3 linked regions of the Cricetulus griseus genome follow. The protein of the gene in region 1 interacts with the protein of each later gene in a pairwise test. Links are inferred from orthologs where the notes say so. Each region holds a gene or a part of one and is shown in the gene's direction. Other genes may lie near its edges.

Region 1 (2,696 bases):
CCAGCTCTTCCTCTCCCTGGAAGCCATGGTTCTTTTGAGAGCTGAGGATAATAATGAGACCCGAGCTTCACCCTTGGCATAACCACTCATGTAGTCAGCCCATGACAATTATTGCTGGCCATTGACAAGTAAAATATAGGTTCTATCTGTCTTACTACATATGCCACTCAACCTGGCCTCTTAAAAATTGCTGGCTGTGGACTGGTAGGATGGCCCATTGGGCAAAGGCACTTGCCGCCAAGCCTGACAGCTTGAGTTCAATCCCCAGGACCCACAGGTAGAAGAGAGAGCTGCCTTCTGCCAGTTGTCCCCTGCCCTCCACACCAGTACTCGTGCAGACACCCAAACTAAACAAATACTATAAATCTTTGTAAATTGTCAGACTGGTCAGGTGTGGGGGGGTGTTTATTTTGCATGGTCTTTGTTTCCAAGGCTGGATGATACCCCTTCATGTCCTGATTAAGAGGCCTGGGAGCAGCCCCAGAGAGTGTTCCCAATCCACTGTGTCAAGAGTACTGCAGGCCAACCTTTCTTTATCTGAGACTCCAGTGCTTTTTGCCTGCATTGGCAACTGGTTTCCTTAGCTGTTTGTTCTCCCTGGGGCATCATCTGCTTCAGGCAGACAGAGTTCAAAGGGAACCCCATTGTCTTGTGCCCGGGAACAGATATTGTCTGTCCTCTTCAGGGAGGGGGTACAAAGCAGTGTGGGGAGTTAGGAAAAGTGCAGAGGTGGCAGTGACTTGCCTTGGTTCAAGAAACAAACTGAAGTCAAGGATCAGGTGTGCCTTTTGCTTTTCCACCCTCTGCCCGGTGTCTCTACATGGGTCAGTGTTCAGTAACCCTGGTGACTGCCAGGTAGCAGGCAGGAGCAGCTAGGTGGTGGCTGTCTTTAGCTGAGTCGTTAGTGGTTTTGTGCTGTGGATAACTTTGTTGACAACAAAGGTCCATAAAGTCCCCATTTTGTGTGCCCCACACTTCGTGTGCAGGTATGCCCTTCTTGCTTAGGGTTCAGGAACAGAGCAACCAACTGTTGGGGTTATTAGCAGTACACACCATGAAACAGTGCAAGGTTGCACATCGGGCAACAGAGCCATTCACTGCTGCCTGGAGAATCAAGGCTTGCTAATGCCCAGAAAGACCTGGGAAGACTGGCTTTGGTCATGATGTGACATGACATCTGGAATTATTTGCAGGATATGGAGGGTAAAGGCTCTCTAACAAGGGTCTTGGGAGATTTAGAAAGCCTACGCCCCTGTGAGGAGGGATGGAGACCCAGTGCAAGATTAGATGCATCACGGCGTGTGCCTCGTTGGCATACATCACCCACACGACCCCCTTCTCTTGAGACTTCCCCAGCCTGCAGTCCTCCTAACTCAGCCATCAGCCCTACCTTTGGTGGAACTCCGATCTGCTGGTGGTGAGATCCATGTCGAGTCTCACTTCTGTAGAGTCATTTAAATGAACATTCTTAATAAATGTATTTGTCCATGTTGGAGTGAACTGGTAGCTTTGCAGACAACTGATCCAGCCCGTTACACAGACAGGGAACAGGGCCTGAGGAGATGGAGAGTTGTCCCAAGTCACAGTGGTTCTAGAGTTCTAGAGCAGGTCTGTCACCTGCTTCCCTTGCTAAAACAGCAAGGCGCCAGCTCACCTAATTCTTTTACTCTTGATGGAATTTTGGAGAGGCCTTGCTCCAGCGATTTCTTGGAACTTTCTTTTCTAAGTAAATGGGAAATCTGTCAGGAGAGCCTTGGAGGCCAAGATGGCTTCCGAGAATACTGACTAGAGGGGAGCAGAGTGGGGGCCCCTTCCTAGGTGCCTGGGGTTTTGTTTTGGAAACTGAGTGTCTTGGAGATTCTTCTGATTTTGCTTTTTTTTATTTTTTATTTTTTGCAATGTTGTGCTTTGTTTTGAGACATGGATTTTTTTTTTTTTCTTCTAGTGTTTCTCTCCAGAGGCAAAGCCCAACACACCTGTCTTTTGTCCTCTTCTCCAGCAAATTAGATTTGTCTCTGGGAATGTGTTTGTCACATATCAGCCTACTGCAGACCAGCAGAGGGAGCTCCCATGTTGAAATTGTTAGCAACCCCCACCCCCCTTTTGCAAAAAACAAAAAAAATCAAAAAAACAAAAAACTATTTCTTGATGATATTTGAGAGATTTCAATAAAAATTTCAATCAGAGGGAAAATGATCTCAAGTAGACTACAGAGTTTGTTTTCATGGTGCTACAATTTTGGAGCAAAAGTATTTAATCTCTGGCTGAGTTTGTGAGTACCTGGCCCGTAGAAGCTAAGTTGCATGTTTCACGGGAGCAGATTCTGAAAGAGCACCCTAGAAGACTGCGCCCAGCTCCAGGGCTTCATCGATGCCGCTGCCATCTTCTCGAGCTCCGAAACCACCCTGAGCTTCATGTTAGAAGATCCTCGTGCCAACAGGTCATCGGCTACCAGAAGTTCTTGCATCAGCACCAACAAGGCTGCCAGATCTAGCTAGGGGACACATACTGCTGTGTGCCTGCTCTGTTCCCAAGGAAGGGAAGACCCCCAAAATGGGACCTCCGTTATTGAGTTGGATCCCATTTCTAGTTCGGTTCTATCTAGTCATGAGCTACAATTCTCTCTCTGGTTTAATGGTACTTATGTACCATCAAATCCCATTGCTTTTGATCTAATTAATGGTGGCATACACCTG
Region 2 (3,972 bases), on another chromosome or scaffold:
TCTCTGTCCAGTCAACCTACCACCCTTTGACTTTCAGGGCCAGGGCTCAAACTGGGATGTAATGGGATAGTTGTCTATAAAATTGTAGTGTAAATACAGCACTCCCTCATGTTTTCTTCTCTCTCACTCCCATTTGCTTTCTTCTACACCGGTTGTTTTTAATTTTGGGCTCCCATGTTTGAGCAAAGTGGTTGCTCAAAGGCGGAGTACCATAGCTGGTGGAGTGGGGGAGAAAAGCAAAAAGGTGTCAATTATCACTAGCCTCATTTTTAATAATATTGGCTGGCTGCTTGTACAGACAGCCAGCGTGTTGTAAATAAAGCAGAGTGGGCTCTTGTGTTTTACAATCCTCGTTGTCCTATTTGGGGAGGGGACCTGGCAGATGTCTCGATGTAATTAGGGCTGAAACCGACTCTTATGATCCAGAGATATAATCCCACAATTTGGGAGGTGGAGACAATTTAGGGGCTAAGGCTGGCTTCCACTACATGAGACACTGAATCCCCCATCACCCTCTCTCACTCAAAAGTCAAATCTTGAAAGGTCTAGTTTTCAGCGTTCTCAAACCAGAAGTCGTCCTAGAGGTCCAAGTTGGTTTGCAGTTCTCGATTTACCAGTACCCTCCCACACCCCCATAGTTGCACCTGAGGTGCTTTGAGCTCTGGGCCTGGGATGGGTAAAACAGTGGGAGCCAGTTGCCAGCATTCTAAGAGTCAACGGGGTTGGCCATAGTACTTGGTGTGGGGCGGGGTACACGTTTGGGGGCGGAGTCTTCTAGGGCTGAAGACCGTTGCTCAAGGCAGCGATCACGTGAGTGTCTAGGCGGAGCTTCGCAGTCACGTGACACGAGCGGATCACGTGAGGGCAGTCGGCTGCGCAAAGTGGGCGGGCTTGTGTCACGTGGCATGGGGAGAGGTGGGCGGGGACCTCGATACTGTTCGCGACGTAGGTGGTGGTGTTGGACCTCGGCTGTGGGGTCCAGGGTTCTGGGTCTCGCTCCACGGCTCTAAGCTATCACCCTGCTGCTCCACGCCGTCCTCCTTGGGCGCGTCTCCCGCACTGGCCCTGCCCTGTCGGCGCTAGCACGTCAATTTGCGGGTGTGCGCAGGCGCGGCGGGGGCGCTTAGTCCTGTTGGGTGGGCGGCTGAGCCCGGGAGCGCGCGAGCGAGACCATGGCGGGCAGCAGCGCGGGGGGCGGTGGTGTAGGCGAGACGAAGGTGATTTACCATCTGGATGAGGAAGAGACTCCCTACCTGGTGAAGATTCCTGTCCCGGCGGAGCGCATCACCCTCGGCGATTTCAAGAGCGTTTTGCAGCGGCCCGCGGGCGCTAAGTACTTTTTCAAGTCTATGGATCAGGATTTTGGGTAAGCGTGAGGCCTAGACTGGGAAGGACGATGGATGTGCTGGAATGGATTGGGCGATTTTGAGGGGGACTGGACTGCCTTGGAATTTTTCTGGCCTGTTGTAGAACATAGCATATTGTACTATGCTAGAGTAGATCGCCCATCCCAAGACGGACAAGGTTGGACACACAGAGCTTGGGAAGAACGGGCTGGACTTCAGTAAACCAGAGGCAAGAAAATTAGGTTGGAATAATGGGGCACACTGGTTTGTTTGGCCATTCTCTCTACTTGATTTTAGCCACAAGGCTAAGAGGCGATGCTTGAGGATATTTTAGGCTGTGCTGAGATTAGATTCAACTATCTTTTGGTTGTCTGGTATGTTCTCAGACGTCTTCACAAGGATTGTATAGGAATATTCTGTAGGGTTATTTTGTTTGTTTGTTTGTTTGCTGGTTTTGATTTGGTCTTTTGTTTTGAGACAGGCCTTACTCTTTGTATCCTAGGCTGGCTCCGAACTCATGGAGTTCCTGCTTTCAGCCTTGAGAGCTGGAGTTAACAGGTGTGAGCCAATATGCTGGGCATGCAGTGTCATTATGTAGATTGAGCTATACTTAGACAATTTAGGCTATCCTGGCTTATTAATTAGGTCCCATAGTATTATTTTGAGATCTGAAATAATGCAGAGAGGTCTGTCGGGGATAGGTTGGACTGTTTTGAATAGATTTTTTTCTGGCAAAGTTTGCAACCTTCTGAACTCTACTGGGTTCTTTTTATTTTCTCTTAGGAGTAGATTCCCCTCCCCCTACGGGGGAAATTGGAGGTTTGTTTGTTTATTTTAAAGATATTTTATGTGTATGGGTGTTTTGCATGCGTGCATATTTGTGCACTACAAGCATGCAATGCCTCAGAAACCAGAAGATGGCTTGGGATCGCTTGGAACTGGAGTTATGTATATGTTATCCTCTATTTAGGTGCTGGGAATTGCACTCCAGTCCTTTGGAAGAGCAGCCAGTGCTCTTAACTGCTGAGCCAGGATTTCATCCTGTAACTAAAGCTACCTAGAGCTCACAATGTAGAACAGACTCACCTTGAATTTGTAGCAGCCCTGCCTCTATGTCTGCATCCTTCATGCTGAGGCTAGAGGTGTGTGACACTATACCTGGCCCAGACCTGGGTTTACTGTGTTACAAGATAGGAATAGGCTGGTGGAGTCCGTGCATATTGTATTGGGGTATTGCAATCAGTACTGGTGCAGACAGCTGCTTGTGTGGAGGCACTGGGGCTTTGCTAGATTAGATGGGGGTTGTTCTGGGGTAATTTGGGACATTCTGGGTGATCCTGGGCTGGAGTAGAACTCTTGAGTAAGGCAGCCTTTTGTTTTGTAGCTATTGAGACCGAGTCTTGTGTGTCCTCAGGCTCAAGGTCTGAAGATAGAGTGCATTGGATTCTGATGTTCTGAGTTGGCATAAGCAAGGATAGCAGGGTACTGGGGAGAAAAAGGTTATCTACCACCTGGGTTGGAGCAAGGCTCCTTACCTGTGGTTGGAGCACATTCCCCATTAGCTAGAACTGAACAAACTGGACTCTCACTGAAGATTTTTCGACATGGGCAGAGTGATACTATCTAGGGGGTTGTCTTGGATTTGAATCTTGGTTCTTCTTTTTGCATTATAATTTTAGGCAATCTATTTAACTTTTGTGCTTTGATTTCTTCATCTGTGGCATGATGATAATCATAGTGTAAAATACTTAATTTAGGTGCAAGCACATGGTAAATCTTGGTGGCTGGTAATTTTCATTTAGTATTGAGGCTAACTAGTTCATAGACTAGATTATAGTGATACAAAATTGCCTGCTTTGGAGGAGACTGGGCCACGCTGGGTTTGATGAGGTTGGGTTATGTTGGGAAGAGTTGTATACACTGAGCAGACCCCTGGTGACTGGGCTATGTTGTCTTGGCAGCTAATATATGAGGAATATACCTTCAAAATGTGGCATATACCCAAGGCCCCCAGAGCATATTAGGCTAGTGTTAATCAATCAAGAGGTTTTATTTTAATTTTTTCATTATTTTTATGTATATGAGTGTTTTGTCTGCATGTATGTATATCATGTGCATGCCTGGTGCCTGTGAACATTAGAAGAGACAGAGCCCAGAACTGGAGTTACAGATGGTTGTGAGCCACTATGTGGGTGCTGGAAACTAAACCTGGGGCCTTTTGGAAGAGCGATAAATGCTCTTAACCACAAGCCAACTCTCACTAAGCCAGCCCCCAGACAAGAAGTTCTAATTTGAAGGTGAGGGTGTTGTGTATGTGAAAGTAAGCCTCATGGCTCATATTTTGTCACCATGTATTTGCTAATGCTTACTAAGTATCAAGGCTGGTGCTGCACACCCAGGACACATGTTGAACAGAGTAGGTGCTAATGATTTCTTGTGGGTATTGAGAAGGAACAAGTTTAATCCGAGGCGGGAGCCTGTGGGAGGCTGGCCACCAAGGCTGGGCTTCAGGATGTTTCAGGCTGAGCAGATTGCTTAGTGAGATGAGGCAGCCAGGAAACGGGAAGCCTCTCATCCCCTCTCAGTGGGCGCTTTCCTGGTGTGGAGTGTTACTGTCACATTGAAG
Region 3 (4,005 bases), on another chromosome or scaffold:
ATATTGAGGGATTTGGGAATCCATTAAAGGGCATATGTGTGAACATCTCAAACCCAATCATTTTTAGCAGGTCTTAGTCACAAGAAGTTCCTAGTCTGCTGTCCAGATACAATCTTACACAACTTGCAGGATGCCCGGTGCATTTTTAGACACAATTCAGAGGTTTTGTCTATAACCAAGGGGAAAGGATTGTATAGGGATGTGAACCCCAGGAAGGGATCATGGGTCTCTTATAAATTGTCTGCCATATTGGGTGTCGAGTCTTATGTCCTGGTCTGCCTTAGCTTCATCAGCTGCAGACCAGTGAGAACTGGATAGACAGCTGCATCCAGGGACAGAGCCCAGATGCAGTCCCATGTGCTATCAAGGCAGAGACTGGTAATGGAGGTAGAAGATGAGGTCTTAGAGATGAAGGGAACACAATAGAACACAGTGTGAGTGAAGAAATGTACTAGGAGTACATTTGGTGCTGGGCAGTACCAAGTCTACTGCAGCACAAGCGAAAGAGATCTGCAGATCTGGGGCCACCACAGGATAAACTTAAAGGAACTACATTGAGTCTATCTGGCCAAAGGTCCTTCTGAAGAGAGCGCTCTGAAGAGGCAAGAGTGGGTGGCCTGGGTTTCCTAGGGACATCTCTTCCATTCATTTGGCAAATTCAAGGCTGGTGGAAGTGTTCCAGCCCACTCTTGCCTCTCCTTCAGCTTGGCTTCTTTTTTTAACATTTAAATATAAATGTTCTTCCTCCCACAGCATTTTGAAGTAATTCAAGGGCTTGAGGGTAACTGGTTTTACTGCCATCTGCTTTCTCCTCAAGCTGCCAAACATCAGTTTTCTCCTTTCTTCAAGCGGATCAGGCACCTTGCAGGTGGTGGTCTCCTAGCTATCTCCAGCCAGGTGACTGGACGTTGTGACGACTTGACGGAGTTGAGATAAACATCCATGTTTCGGGTGCCTGGTCCTGGGTCAACAGACTGGCTCACGCCGAGAAACACTCAGGTTTAGGCATGCGCAGACAGCCTGGCAGCCATTTTAAGGGCTTACCGTACTACAGGAGTGACCACCGCGCAGGCGTACACGGGAGACTTAACCCGCCCTCACCCCAGCCCTTTGCACGCATGCGCGGATTAGCCGGAAGGGGCGGGATTAGCCATTGCGAAGCGGCTGCGCCTTGGGAATGCCGGGGTGGGGCGGGGCGGGGTGACTGTCAGCTGACTGAGGCGCAGATTGCCTCGCGGGACAACGGTCGGCGACGCAGGTTGAGGTGGGGGCGGAAGAACTCTCCCGGCGGGTCTCTGTGCGGTCGGTGAGGCACAGGGTCGCCGTAACATCATGGCGACCACCGTCAGCACGCAGCGCGGGCCGGTGAGTCCACTGGGCGAGGGCCGGACTGGGGCAACGCAGCCTGAGATCGGGCTCCTCTTGTCAGCCCCTCGTGGGGCCCCTCGCGAGTTGCTCGGCCGTCCCGGAGCTGTGCGGGTCCCACCTTCGGGTACCCAAACGGAGTAGCGACTCTGGTCCTGAGGGTCTCGCGGGTGGAAGAAGGCAGAGCTTGATGGTTCTTTGGATGCCCACGGGCCCTGAAACCCCTGAATCCCTAGAGGGGCCCTGAATCCCTTAGTCCTCCACACAGAGGAACGTGACCCCATTGGTTCCCCATACTGAGAGGGACCCCGACTCCCCTTAGTTCCCCGGGTGGAAAAAGGGTCCCGAACCCCTTACTTCCCCAGATGTATACCAACCCCTTGGTCTCTCAGATGGACATGGGCCCTGACGCTTGGTTCCCCAAATGGAGAGTGGTCCTGACCCTGTTAATTTCCCAAACTGATAGTCTTGGCTCCCATGATCTCTCAGAGGAGTGGGGCCTGACACTCCTCTGATGTTTCAGAGATGGTGAAAGATCCCACTTTGTAATCAGCTCTTAGTTGTGTCAGTTTCTTCCTCTCCCTGCTCCTATAGAGAACAGGGTTGCTACCTCTTGAGCCCGGTTAGTGGCTACCTTTCCAAGTCTCAGTTGTTCATCTATAAATGAGGAGAAGGGAGCAGAAAACGTGGAAAACCAACAGTGATGGCTCCTAAGGGTTGTCTTGGGGTCCACAACACTACCTGTCTCTCCTACCTCTAGTGTGGATGTCCTCCCAGTAGTTCTCTGAGACTGATATGAGTTGGATGTTGTTAGCTAACAGTGGTTATGTGTGTAGAACACAGTTCTGATGGCTCCATTGTCTTTTCCCTGAAGTTATTGAAAGTGTCTGCAAAGCCTTTGGTTTCCCAGGTCCCTCACCCTGACAGCTTGGTGTTGACAGGTGTGTGTGTGTGTGTGTGTGTGTGTGTGTGTGTGTGTGTGTGTGTGTAACAGATAAATCATTGGGGTAGATGACTGATTTTCTGACTTTGAAGAAAGCCCCAGGCAGGGTGCTTTTTTGGAGGGCTTTAAAGCCAGACTTCCTGACCAGAGTTGGGGTTACCTTCATGTTCAGCAACCCTTCTTCATCCTCACTGTGTCTCACCAAACTACAGAAGATTGCTAGTGGCTGACAGAAGAGGAAGGGAGCCAGTACTTTGCTCTTTTCCTATCTCCTGCCAAGTGGACACAGGGCCAGGCAGAGTGGACCGTTCCTTACTGTGTGTCTGAGAGTGCCTTTACTTCTGTGGCTGGACTGCATTTGAATTCATCTGATGGTGAGCTTAATGTCCGTCATTAATTGAGTAAGAAGGTGTCCTCCCGTGTTGCTGAGGGAAACTCTGGTGCTGTGTGTATAGAGCTGGGGTAACCCACGCTGTGATGAGTAATTGGGAGTGTCGGGTGACATTCATACTAGCGCAATCTGTGGAGTCAAGTCCTGACGCTTGATCTTTCTACTTGCCCAGTGTTCTAGGGACCACAGAGTCTTATAAATAAACATAGACAGCTGAATGGTTTTTTAGGAGCACTCTTGATGACTTGTAATATTGTGTCTGGACTCTAAGAAATTGTCATCAGTGACAGATATCTTAGACTTTGCTTGGGATGTATTATTGGCCACAGTATTTAGAGCAATTGGACACTGAGTCAAAAGTGTGGAGCACAGGGACACAGCTATGCATGGTGACCCATATAAAGCCAGAAAATAACAGTCACCATCAGGTCTGTGCTCTTAATCATTGAAAACAGAAAGGTATGGACTTGGTGTGGGAGGAGTGAATGGGTTATGGCCAGGGTCTCTTAAAGACTAGAAGATCTTGAACTTGATCTGGTAAGTGCTGTTTCTTAGAGTGCATGCCTTTTACAGTTTTCAGCTTTTCACTGGCTGCTTCACCTAGAATGATCTACCTATATGCCTCTGGATTCATTAATATTTGCAAAGGTTTTTTTAGCCAGTTGTCAGGGTCTAGTAGAACTGTCAAGAGTGTGGTAGTTCTTCCCTACTATTCATGTCATACTCAGGGTTGTGGAGCTGTAAAGATAAACAGAAGTACACATTTGGTCAGTACTGGGTACTATTGGCAGCCTTCTTTTTGTAACCGCAGCAGGGGGTTAGGCTATGGTTCAGAGTCCCCTTCCCAGGAGCCTGGACTAGGCTTGGGCAGTTGTCTCTATAGCTGACCTTCACCTCTGATGAGTGGGGAAGGACTGACAGTGTCTTGGGAGGCTATAGAAGGCTGAGGACACTCTCATCTGGGCTAGGAGGGTTCTCTATTCTTGGTTGAGGGTTTGGGATGGGGCAAGTATGAGGAGGAGAGCCAGAACCCACATAATTGTGAAGGAATAAGTTTTTCCCTGGGACATTTGGTATTTTACGTTTTTTTTTTGTGTTTTGTTTTTTTTGTTTTGTTTTGTTTTGTTTTGTTTAATAGCCACTATAGGGCACTACAATCTTTCATAGCCATCTCACTTTTGAAAATACTGGTATTTTGAAATTACCCCTTTTGCTACCCAGTCTGCACACCTGCTCCTTTCCTACAGTAGTGGTTTTTTTTTTTTTTTTTTTTTTGCGGGGGGTGGGGTGGGGGGGTGGGGGGGTC

What was found.
Region 2: the proteins of Rbpms (region 1) and Dvl2 interact in a two-hybrid assay, tested with the Homo sapiens proteins (2 studies listed by BioGRID and IntAct). The two-hybrid records come from large-scale screens. The link is inferred for Cricetulus griseus from reciprocal best matches to the Homo sapiens genes RBPMS and DVL2.
Region 3: the proteins of Rbpms (region 1) and Tollip interact in binary tests that used the Homo sapiens proteins (3 or more experiments, as listed by UniProt). The two-hybrid records come from large-scale screens. The link is inferred for Cricetulus griseus from reciprocal best matches to the Homo sapiens genes RBPMS and TOLLIP.

What each region holds. Positions count from the first base shown.
Region 1 is NW_023276807.1:51,013,785-51,016,480, forward strand, and holds the end of Rbpms (RNA-binding protein with multiple splicing), read left to right. Parts: intron 1-1,945; coding exon 1,946-2,077; 3' UTR 2,078-2,196; downstream 2,197-2,696.
Region 2 is NC_048600.1:83,846,839-83,850,810, forward strand, and holds the start of Dvl2 (segment polarity protein dishevelled homolog DVL-2), read left to right. Parts: upstream 1-1,172; coding exon 1,173-1,366; intron 1,367-3,972.
Region 3 is NC_048596.1:59,283,578-59,287,582, forward strand, and holds the start of Tollip (toll-interacting protein), read left to right. Parts: upstream 1-1,205; 5' UTR 1,206-1,332; coding exon 1,333-1,365; intron 1,366-4,005. UniProt on the Homo sapiens protein: Component of the signaling pathway of IL-1 and Toll-like receptors. Inhibits cell activation by microbial products. Recruits IRAK1 to the IL-1 receptor complex. Inhibits IRAK1 phosphorylation and kinase activity.